3 linked regions of the Rattus norvegicus genome follow. The protein of the gene in region 2 purifies or fractionates together with the protein of the main gene of each other region. This does not show direct contact. Links are inferred from orthologs where the notes say so. Each region holds a gene or a part of one and is shown on either strand. Other genes may lie near its edges. The genes, in order: Grb2, Themis and Ptpn11.

Region 1 (4,100 bases), on a different chromosome or scaffold from region 2:
ACAGAACACGACTTTCTCACGCCTCCATCCATCCCTCTGTTCTTCTGTGCTATTCCGTTTGCCGGCTATGGGCTTACCCTGGCTCCTGTGCTGTGCAACTCCTACTCACCCTCAGCACTCGGCGGCACATCACCTTCTTTGTTAAGTCTTTTATGCAGTGGGCAGAGGAACAGAGCCAGCCTTTCTCCATCTTTTTGGCTTCCTCAGCATTCCCCCAAAGTACTATGTGTAAGTGTTATAGTTTGTGTGTGTGTGTGTGTGTGTGTGTGTGTGTGTCTGCACGAGGGTGTGTGCAGGTGAATGCCGGTGCCATCAGAGGCCAGAGGCACTAAATCTCCTGGAGCTGGGGTTACAGACAGTTGTGAACCATGGGATGTGGGTGCTGGGAACTGAAATCAGGTCCTCTGGAAGAGCAGCAAGCGTTTTTGTTTTGTTTTTTTGTTTTTTGTTTTGTTTTTGACCTCTGAGAGGTCTCTCCAGCCCAAGACATTACTTGTTTACTCTTCTGGTGCTTCTCTCGATTGATTGAATCGCTTAAGGGCCAGGATCTCTGCTCGTCGTTTCATCTTCTTTACCCAGCACAGTGTTTACCTACAGTAGGTATGTAGTTCACTCGGTGAACGGACTAATCAAACAGTTCATCAAACACTGCAGGTTGTACGAACCAGATTCCCAAACATTTCTAGATCTGGTCCTCTATTTGGGTCGAACCATCCTGAGATCTGCCGCCCCTCGACCCCTCCTCGAGGCCTCTTTGCTTTGCTTCGATAGAAAGAACGCTATTCGAGTGTGGAAAGCGCTATTCCGCTAGAGCAGAGCTGTAATTCACTTGCTCCGGCACGCAGAGGGTTACAACGGCCCAGGGGCGGAGCCGAGTCCCTGCCACCTGCTGCGGGGCGAGCTGACGCATGCGCGAAGTCCCCCTTAGGCTACCTGCCGGGCGGAGCGGAGGAGGAGCGCTTGCGCTCTGGGCCTTTTCCGCCGGGGAAAGTCTCGCGGGGGCGGGGCGCGGCGGGGCGGGGCCGCGTGGGGAAGTTCTCGCGGGACCCTGGCGAGGAGCGGAAGCTAGGCTGCTCTGCTGCTTCTGCGATCGGGCGGCGGCGGGGCGAGCCAAGCTGCGGCGGGGGACGGCGGTCTGGGCAGCGGGCGCCGCAGTCAGGGAGCAGCAGTGAGGTTGGCGGCCGCGGGCGGCAGCACAAGGCGGGCCAGGCCGGGTGAGGGAGCGGACGGCACGTCGCGGTGAGTGCAGGAGAGCGGGCGGGAAGTGAGCGGGGGCTCCGTCGTCCCCGCGCCGCGCCGGGCAGCTCGGGCCCGGTCTGCTCCGGGCTGCCGGGGCGGGCCGCTCGCGGGTCGGGGAAGGCTCGGACCGGAGCGCAGCGGCTGCGCAGCCGTCTCCTCGTTTCCCCTTTTGGGGCGCTTCCTTCCTGGTGTCGGTCTTCCTCCCGCTCGGGGCAGAGACCGGGCGAGCCGACGATTGAGGTCCGGTGTGGCGGCCGTCCGGCTGGGCGCAGAGGAGCCCGGAGCAGCCGAGAGGCACAGGGTGCTGCTCTGAGTCAGGCTGACTGAGCCCGGGAGGCGGGGGATTCGGTGCCGGCTGCTAACGTGGTGATTGATGCTCCTTTGACCTGCAAGGCAACCACGTCACCGTCTCTTGGCATCTTGCGGTCGAATTGTGTGCGGGAATCCACCATGACTTAGAATGATTGTTACCCGGACCCACCGACTGGTCTTTGCGAGAGTTGGGAGCTTCTTTTGTAGAAGTACTTGAGAAAAAAAAATACTTGTTGTGGGGGGAAAAACAGCAGCAGCTGATGGGAATGCTGGCAGGAAGGATTTTCGCGGAGAGAGCCCCGCTGGTTCATGTCCGTTTGCAACGCTCTAGGTTGTGTGGGTTTGTAAGAAAGTGATTTTTAGGGTGTCTTCAAAAGCTATATAGCAGTGCAGTTTGCCGGGAAGCCGAGGCGCGTTCAACGTCCGTCTTTTGATGGTGTTGACATTCAAAAAGAGGCTAGAGAAATTGGCTTTCTTTTGACTTCTTCGCCTCTCTTTCACTTTGCCCTGCAGTTTTTGTCCTTTCAGTCTCTATTCCACTCCACTAGGGACACGAAGTACATTTTTTTAAAAAATTTATTTATTCTATGTATATGAGTATACTGTAGTTTTCTTCAGACACACCAGATCCCATTACAGATGGTTGTGAGCCATCATGTGGTTGTCGGGATTTGAACTCAGGACTTCTGGAAGAGCAGTCAGTGCTCTTAACCGCTGAGGCATCTTTCCAGCCCCACGAAGTACATTTGTAACGCCAGTCATTGGCGCCTCCACCCCCTTTAGAAAATAATCTACTTCCCCTTCTTGTTCTTCCTCCGCTATAATTTTCGAAGTTTCTGCCGGTTTGAGCACTGTTAATTTTCTCAGTCGTTCTAAGATCCCCTTTTTGGGGGGGGTAGATACCTTCCCTTGTTTGCATTTCTTTTTTTTTTTTTTTTTTTTTTTTGGTTCTTTTTTTCGGAGCTGGGGACCGAACCCAGGGCCTTGCGCTTCCTAGGTAAGGGCTCTACCACTGAGCTAAATCCCCAGCCCCGTTTGCATTTCTTTTAGACTGTCCTCTGTATTCTTCAGCCAGCCAGAAGGGCTACTAAGGAGCCATCGGGGTGCTTGAGGGGGTTTAAGTTCTCCCCCTGGGAACTAGAAAACCCAAAGGACTGAATTCATTGCTAAGTAATCGATAGTGCCATCAGATCACAAGTGGATTTGCCTGTTCGCTTGTGCTATTTGTATTTTGGTGTTTTCTTCACAAGGTATCCTTTTGTGCCTACTATTTTCCTTCTTTCTCTCTCCTGTTTCTCTTCTCTGTTAGTAAGGAAGATTTTGAGCCAGTTTGGAAGCTGAAAGACTCCCCCCCTCCCTTTTTTTTTTTTCGGAGCTGGGGACCGAACCCAGGGCCTTGTGCTTGCTAGGCAAGCGCTCTACCACTGAGCTAAATCCCCAACCCCGAGGTCAACTATTGTTAAATGAGAAATCATCCGTGGAGTTTGTGAAGTAAGATAGCTTGAAATAGAAGAGAACTTTGGATATTTGTGAATTAAGTCCACCTTCCTCTCCTGACTAATGATATAGTCCTAACCAGGCTTTTTAAAATGATTTTTAATTTTGTATGTGCTTGAGTGAGTTTTGCCTGCATGTATGTATGGAAACCGTGTGCATGCCTGGTGCTGTCAGAGGCTAAAGGAGGACAAATACCTTGAACAGGAGTTACAGAGGGTTGTGAGCAGCCATATATATATGTGTGTTAGGAATTGAACCCAGGTCCTCTGGAAGAGGAGTCGGTGTTCTTTAACAGCCTGAGTTGCTATTCTCTCTAGTCCAATAGTTTTAAGCACTACTCACTGGTACTGAGGGTTTTTTCCATGATTTCTGTTATGTCGCATGTATACAGCAGCCCTTATGGAGAATTATGAATTAGGAGACAGCAAGACAGAGCTGCCACTCCCGGACAGGCATTTGGTGTCGTTACCTGCTGACCTCAGAGGCCTACACCTTTGGCCACGGTTATTGAGATTTATTCTTCTGTGTTTGTCAGAGTTGATTTTCCCGAGTTGTGCCAAGTCTAACATACATCATTTTCATTTTGTTCAGACGTAGTGCACTGAAATGCAAATTTTAAAATTTGCTTAGTGCTTCCTCATTTTAGCCTTGATTCTTAAAATTTGTATGTATAGACATAACCTGCCAATTAAGGAAGGGCTGGAGAGATGGCTCAGTGGTTAAGAGCACCGACTGCTCTTACAGAGGTCCTGAGTTCAATTCCCAGTAACCACATGGTGGCTCATGACCATCTGTAATGGGATCTAATGTCCTCCTCTGATGTGTCTGAGGACAGCTACAGTGTACTCATATATAATAAATAAATAAATAAATCTTAAAAAAGAAACCTGCCAATTAAAATTTTTTTATCCAAAAAAATTTTTTTGAGACAAGGTCTTGATATATTGTACAGGTTGGTCTCAAACTATTTCTCTATTGATTTATTTTGAGGCAGGGTCTCTCTGTTTAGTCTTGGCTTTCCTGGAACTCTATCTGTAGGCTACCTGGGCTGG
Region 2 (3,645 bases):
TTTAGTCATTTAGAATTCTACACCATCATTCACACATATCAGAAAATTTGGCAGTCTGAGACTTTCAACTCACATATACTACACACACACACACACACACACACACACACACACACACACACACACACCACTCTGAACAATGCACTTACTAATCTGTTCGGAATACCTTATTCAATTTCTTATGCTTATATATAATTAAAATCAGACGAATGCTGGACAGAGACACACACAGCGACCAAAGCCTATGTAAGCTTGTCAATCAAAATGGACAACCAACCACACTATATCCATAGTAACAACAGACACGCCCCACAGAGATCCCTAGAGGCCAGTAAGGTGGATGCATTCCATCAATTGAGTGTCTGTCTTCCTAGGCATGGCAAGTTGGCAACCTTTGGACCCATAAATGAAAACTTAAACAATAATGGAGCCCTTGAATGTCTTCACTCACGGGGCCCACTGTCACTTCTAAAGTGTGGTTTTGATCTGCTCTAAGGCTCTGCTTTGAATGTTTCCTTGCTACTTCTGCAAATATGTGTGAGATTTTTTTTTCTTGCTTCGTTTTTAAAATTACGTGCCAAGAACCTATACACCAGTGTTTGTATCATTCAACTCAGTGAAAACAACATGTTAAGTGTAAGCATCAAAGAAATCCTACATGTCGGCTGCTCAATATTATTTTGTAACTGTTCTGTTTAGTCATTTTTAAAAATGATTTTATCAGACATGAAATGTTGGTGGCTTTATTCTTTTTCCAGCAAATGAGTTCAGAGACCCTTAAGGATTTAACCTTTAGCATACAATTAAAACAGTCTCTCATACATACAATTTCAGGCAGATCAGCATCCACATATGAGTCTTGATGTCCAGCAATACTATCTTTTCTGAATATGAGAAGCAATCGGAAAGTATCTCTTTTACTAATTGCTTAGTTTTCCTTGTGCTTCTAGCACAACATCTGCTGGGGAACACACTCCTTCCACACAAAACACACGCGCACACACACACACACACACACACACACACACACTAAAAGAATGTGCATTCTGGATGAGGGGGTAGGTTTGGCTCAGGTAGCCTTCAGGCATGCTCAAGAATCAACATCAAGTATAAACAATGCTAAACCACTGTCCAATGTCCTGAACAGTTGTGGATCTGTTAAAACCTCCTAGTGTCTGTAGTTTATTGACTTCATCTTTCTAGTAGAACTGCTAAATATTACAATTCTAAGAGGCATTATGTGGGTAGATGCCCTCATTCTCTCACACAGTTCGGCCAAGATATTTTTACACCTTTCTGCACATAAAACAAAATGAAGGCATGCGTTAGAGATGCATGTTACCAGTAAACTCCCCACCCCCATCCTATGAAGCTGGGAATTTATTCTATGCTCATTTCCTGAATGAAGTATTAAGATAATTCTACCTAAGGAAAATGAACCACATTTCTAAAATAAAAGGGATTTTCTTGGTGGGGCATCTTATTAAACATATTTAATCGCCAAGACCCATTAGAATGTCAATTCATGTGGTCATATCCAAATGCCATCCCTTCTATTTCTACCTCTACATAGATTCCATGCCCTATCTACTGATGGAGCATCAAATGCTACAAGAGAGTAGCTTCTGCTCTGTTCACATTCCCTCATGGAGCACGTGTCAAGCAGATTTGCTTCAGATTGGCATGAAAAAAAGAAAGGAAACAAAAAGCGTATTCATAAACAGCTTAGAACCTATTGCCTCAAGAAGAAGATAAAACTCTGAAATCATTCTCTTACCTTGGGAGACCTGGGCAGATTTATCGTTCTCTCTTCTGCTAAGCTCAACAAGGTTAGCTTCATATCCTCAGCTGAGGGGTGTTTGGGAGGGCGAGGCGGGGGATGTAATACTGAGCTTTCGTATCTCCTTATCATGTAATACTGTTCCTCGGTAATCTCTTCTACAAGACTCCTAACTTGAAGTGGTCCTGCATCCGTAGGCAAACTACTACTATTAACTAACCGAACAGTCATTTTCAAGCGGCCCACGGGAATTTCCCAACATTCCTCGGGATTTTCAAAGTCACTGATAAGTAGGTAAGAATCTGTGATGTCCTCCTCCAACTGCAGTCCCGGAGTTGCTGCCAAAATGTCGTTTTCAATGGAGAGATCTCTCATAGCCACCTTCACATTGAAGGGCCAGCAGAACTGTGTGCAGAGCTCAGAAATCTGGTACTGTTTCTTATCGTGAATCACCTCTACAAAACCTCCTTCCATATACAGAGGAAGCTGTGCTGCTTCACGGGACTTACTGAGGATTCTTTCACAGGAAAGAATGTTTACTTTTCTTGTTCCTTCAAAGACAACTTCTGTAGTCTCGGAATGATGCACTAGAAATTGGTCTCCAACAGACACAGAGGATAGCTCCTTATGAAGTGTATGAAAAGCTTTGGTGGCCACCACGTGGAGAGTTTCTTTCTTGCTCTTAGCTATCTGCAGGTCATAGGCCGTTGGGAACTCCCTGGGTCTTCTTTTGAACTTGCCTTTGTAGCTAGTAGGGATCAAGAAGTGTCTTTTAGGGAAATTGCTGCGAATTTCTGAAGCTAAGATTCTTGAAGCCTGGTACTTTTTGTGGATGATAATGGTTTTCTCAGGCTGTAAAATATTTTGGGGCAGTTGGTTCCTCTGAGATACTTCGATGACTTCACCTACTACAGGAAACTCTTTGCTGGTCATTTCAAAAAGATCGTCTGTAGACAGCAACTGAAGAAACCAGCTAGCATCATAAGAGTCAGTAATGTCTTTGACTTCAACGTCTAAACTGGGGAGAATCCGGACTATTTCCTTTTGAACTGAAAATGAAAGAGAAAATAACTGATATTTTGTTCAGAGTGCTCTCGTGGTATCCTGGTAGAGATAGTCTCCTGGCACTATTCATTTAGGGAAGAGAAAAGAACTCAAATAGTCATGATATGATTTTCTTTATATATGACTTTGCAGTTTTGAAACTTTATGATGAGAAAAAGGGATACGTATACCAACATGCTCAACTTAAGAAATAGAGGTTACCCAACCCTTTGTATCTCTGTGAATCTCAGCAAAAATTACTTCTTGCTTATTACTATAAATGGTAATTATGCTCCTGACTCAAATGCTGCCCATTCTTGAATTTATGCGTATATTTTATGATATGTATCATATATCTATATGAATGTACATATAAATAGACAAGTATGAAAGTCTTATCACTTGATTTTAAGTCATGTTTCTGAGATACAGGGATTATATGTAAAACCTTTATGGGTTTCTGCCTGTGCCTGGAGCTGACCCGATCCCACAGCTCTCGGCACCCAAATCCCATGGGGGAGAGAGTTGGACTCTCAGGAGTGCAGACAATCCTGAGAGCTCAGAGAAAAACACCACTTCTGTTCACATTCATGACCAAAGCAGAACGTGCACCTAGAGCAGTCACAGGAACCTAGGAGCAGTCAGGGGCAGGATCCTTCCAGTTTCTGCCTGTGCGCAGAGCTCAAAGTTGGTTACCAGGAGCGCTGACACACCTGAGAGCAGAGGTAAGACCACCACTTCTGCTCCAAGGGACCCGCCTGGAGCTCTCAGGACACACAAACCCAGTAGCAGTCCAGGACTAGCCTGGTCCCATAGCTTTC
Region 3 (4,146 bases), on a different chromosome or scaffold from region 2:
ATAATTTTACACTTCATTAAGATGCAGCTGTTCATGAAAACCTGCATTTATCTAACAGAGACCCCACCCCAACCCCCAGAGTAGTGCACTGGTACTAACAAATTTGGACATTCAAAAGAGAAGTTATGGAGTGTTTCTTTGAAGTGGAAAAGGTCAAATTTCTTAATTTAGAAAAAGAATCGGGGGTTGGGGATTTAGCTCAGTGGTAGAGCGCTTGCCTAGGAAGCACAAGGCCCTGGGTTCGGTCCCCAGCTCCGAAAAAAAGAACCAAAAAAAAAAAAAAAAAAAAAAAAGAACCAAAAAAAAAAAAAAAAGAAAAAGAATCACTTGTCAGGATTGCTAATCCCAATATGGGTGAAACGGCAAAAAGAGAAGAAAACCGTGCTCATCTTACTTCAAGCTGTCGAAGTATGGCCATGGCATATAGGTTTCTGTTCTCAAAAACAAACAACTCCCCCTCCCCACCCCCCAAAAAAAATCAACGGGAGGCTGGTTAGATGGCTCTGCAGTAAAGAACGCTGTTTTATCAGAGGTCGTGGGTTTTGCTCCTAGCACCCACATGGTGGCTCACTGCCATGTAACTCTATCAGGGACTGTTGTCCTCTTCAGACCTCCTTGGGCATCAGACACACACACACAGTTACACACATACTTACACGCAAGGCGACTACTAATACACTAACATTAAAAAAATATAAAAAGCAATAAATCTTTTTTTTTTCTTTCTCTTTTTGACAGGGTCTCCCTACTTAGCTGTCCTGGAACTCCCAATACAGACTAGGCTGGCCTCGATCTCACAGTGATCCACCTGCCTCTGCCTCCCTAGTGCTGGGATTAAAGGGTACACCACCTTGTGAGGCAAAAGGAATAAATCATCAAACATTATCTATAAATGTGTGGGTATGTGCACGTGCCCGCGGAGGATGGCGGATCCGGTAGAACTGAAGTTACAGGAGGTTGTGGGCTGCCCCATACAGGTGCTGGGAACCGAACTCGGGTTCCCCCATCCTCCGCTTATTTGTTTGCTTTTCACGTGTGCACCCGCACTGGATGCGTAGTGTGTACTCGCACTAATGTGCGGCGTCCCAGATGAAGAATCTCCCTGGCGTTCAAGTCTGTAAACCGCACAGATTAGGAGGAGGAGGCCCCCCTCCCCAACCTCCAGCACTGGTCAGGGCCCTGCAAACCGGAAGCAGAAAGTGGCTGTGGCGGCGGGCGTGATGACTTCACGTCGGCGCCGGCGGCAAGGGGCGGGGACGAGGGCGGAGCGAGCCGGGCGGCGGGGCGGCCGCGCAGTGTCCGGGATCCAGGCCTGCCAGGGGTTGTGCGCGCGGCCGGCCGGCTCTGCCCGCTCCCGTGTCGGCTCCCGAGCGGGGCCTCACTCGGCCCCCTCCATGTGACGGCGCCTCGTGGAGCCTGAGTGAGCAGCGGGTCCGTGCGGAGCCGGAGGCGGGAGGAACATGACATCCCGGAGGTGAGCCGCCCGCAGGAGCCGGGCCGCGGCCTGGGTCCCCGCCGCTTCTGTGTTGCGCGGCCGCTGGGGGTTACACTCGGACTCCCCACTGGCGCGGCGTCCCCGCCGCCCCACCGCCCCGCCCGCGGGTCCCCATTCATTTCCTGCCGCCCCGAGTTCCTGCTCCCGCGACTCGGGATGCCCGTGGGGACACCCGCGGCCCGGCCGGCCGTCGCATTCCTGACCCATTGCCTCATGAGCGTCGCCTCCTGGGGATTCCGAAATAACCCCGCGCGCTCGGGGAGGCGCCCGGGCCACCGCGGGGCCTTCACACGGGACCCTTTCAGGTGCCCCCTTTTCGCCTCCTCACCCTCGCCCCAAGTGCCAGAAGTGGGAAAACTGAATCTGTCTGCAGCCTCTGGGAGTGTTCCCAACCCCACTGTGATCTTTGCTTTGAAAGGTGGGAGGGAAGGGAACTGTATCTGGTCGTGGAATTGTTCCTTCGGGTAACGAGTGCGTTCCCGTCTTACGAATGTGGAAACTGAGGCTCGGAAGTAAAGTGCTCGTCACAGGATAGGATTGGAAGCTGAGATCAGGAGGAGGATTAGTGAGTTTCAACTTCAGAGACTCAATTATTGACATTGACTTCGCTCTTACTAGAAGCCAGCTTAACACGTACCGCAGTGGTACGAGGTGGGTGGTGGTCTCCCTTTCTAAACATGGACCAAATTGAGTTTTCCAGAATTAAGTACATTGTGGCCTTTTACCTTGGTAAGAGGTGGAAAGAGAATCTCTCATTGTGTTGCCCAGGTTAGCCTCCAACTTACATTCCCGTTACCTCTCAACCTTGTAAGTGCTGGGGTTATACAGTCTGGATCACTATAAAAGCTTGTTTTATTTAGTTTTAAAATCAGCTTTATTGAGATAAGTTGCTTCTGATCCGGCAGACAACATGATAAACCTTGACATCTGGGAGATGTCACCACTCCTGGTAAGGTTTTCTCAGCTCTCTCTTACCAGTCCTCTGCTCTCCTTCGACCACTGTTTGGTTGTTACTTTTCTAGAATTTTGTATTAATGACATTAGACAACTATGGACTGTTTTTTTTTGGGGGGGGTGTCCTGATTTTTATTATTGAAAGTTTTTTTTAACATGTATTTATTCATTGTGTGTGGACCCAAGGCATGGTATGCATTTGTAGGTCGGAAATTGATACATGGAGATTGGCTCTCACTACCACACAGGTTCCAGGGATTGAACTCAGGTTGTCAGGCTTGGCGACACGTGCCGCCACACCCCGGCGTAGCGTACAGCGTCCACGTTCACAGATCCATCCATATTGCTAGAGTTCTATTACTCGGCTGCTGCCAATTGTATAGCGTTCCCATTGTAGGGCTGTTTCCTTTTTTACCCTTTCTGACAGACCTTTGGCTGTCTCTAGAATTTGTCACTCACATGTGATTCTGAGAATGCTCCTGCAAAGGCCTCAGTATGGTCTCACCTCTTCGGTGGCCATCTACAAGTTGAATGGCTGAATTTACTGTGTACAGGCACTTGCAGCCTGCCCACAGAAGGGCTGTCACTGTTTACTTTCCAGTCTTACTCTGTGAGGGCTGCATACAGCTTGTCTGTATCTTTGAGTTCTGATTTCCTAGTTTTATAAAGATCTGTTTTGATTTTGCATGTATAGGTAGCTTGCAAGCATGTGAATGCATGTGTATGCCTCATTCCTGGGGTCAGTAATTGATTACTGTGTGAAGTGTGGGTTCCTGCTCTCTATTCCATGGGGCTCTCCAGTTGTCCCAGCACAGCTGCTGGGGAACCTCTCCACAGGTAGAGTCTGCTCCATTGTTGAAGGATACTTGTCCTTCATGTGAGTTTGTTTCTTGACTCGGTTCTCTTCCATGGATTTTTCTGTATCTTCACGTCAGTCCCGAATGGTCTTGGTTCTTTCTTTCTTTTTTTTTTTTTTATGTTTTTTTGTTTAATATTGTGTGTGCACGCACAGAGGTCCGAGGAATGTGTCAGAGCCCTTGGACTTGTAGTTAAAGGTGGTTTTAAGTTGCCTCACACGAGTGCTGGGAATGAAACTTGGGTCCTCTGCAAGAGCAGCAACTGTTTATAACTAGTACACGTGTTTTGTTTTCTCTCCTCTCCATGATCTCAGTTATTGACTCTTTCTCCCTCTTTCTTTCTCTCTCTCTCTCTCTCTCTCTCTCTCTCTCTCTCTCTGTGTGTGTGTGTGTGTGTGTTCGTGTTCGTGTTCACATGTGGAAGTCAGAAAACAATTGCATCCTCGGGATGGAACTCAGGTTGTTAGCAGTGTACGTTTTCACACTGAGCTATTGTGCTGGCCTGAGGAGCTAAGAAGGCTCTGCGTTCTGACGGGGGATTCAGGGAAGGTCTCTTTGAGGAAGTGATCATAGGAACTGACACTTGGATGGCGAACACCATATTGATGTTTGTTTTACTTAATCATCACGGTAAAGCTGGACAGGGTCTCATCATGTCATACCAGTTGGCCTAGAACTTTCTACGCAGAACAGGCTGACCTTGAGTGCTCGGAGCCACCTGCCTCTGCTTTGGCGGTGCCACTGTCTCTAGTCCTAAAACAGTTCATTTTGGTTAGCATTGCAGACTTCACATTTTCGTGAGCCTTCAGTAACCAACATGTGGGTTCATTCAGCGTGTTG

The links.
Region 1: the proteins of Themis (region 2) and Grb2 purify together in Homo sapiens (co-immunoprecipitation; 6 studies listed by BioGRID and IntAct, counting the BioPlex papers as one, with this or other methods). This does not show direct contact. The link is inferred for Rattus norvegicus from reciprocal best matches to the Homo sapiens genes THEMIS and GRB2.
Region 3: the proteins of Themis (region 2) and Ptpn11 purify together in Homo sapiens (co-immunoprecipitation; 3 studies listed by BioGRID and IntAct, counting the BioPlex papers as one, with this or other methods). This does not show direct contact. The link is inferred for Rattus norvegicus from reciprocal best matches to the Homo sapiens genes THEMIS and PTPN11.

What each region holds. Positions count from the first base shown.
Region 1 is NC_086028.1:101,445,217-101,449,316, reverse strand, and holds the start of Grb2 (growth factor receptor-bound protein 2), read left to right. Parts: upstream 1-1,178; 5' UTR 1,179-1,239; intron 1,240-4,100. UniProt on the Homo sapiens protein: Non-enzymatic adapter protein that plays a pivotal role in precisely regulated signaling cascades from cell surface receptors to cellular responses, including signaling transduction and gene expression.
Region 2 is NC_086019.1:18,382,790-18,386,434, forward strand, and holds part of Themis (protein THEMIS), read right to left. Parts: intron 2,830-3,645; coding exon 1,778-2,829; intron 1-1,777.
Region 3 is NC_086030.1:41,024,795-41,028,940, forward strand, and holds the start of Ptpn11 (tyrosine-protein phosphatase non-receptor type 11), read left to right. Parts: upstream 1-1,284; 5' UTR 1,285-1,460; coding exon 1,461-1,474; intron 1,475-4,146. UniProt on the Homo sapiens protein: Acts downstream of various receptor and cytoplasmic protein tyrosine kinases to participate in the signal transduction from the cell surface to the nucleus. Positively regulates MAPK signal transduction pathway. Dephosphorylates GAB1, ARHGAP35 and EGFR.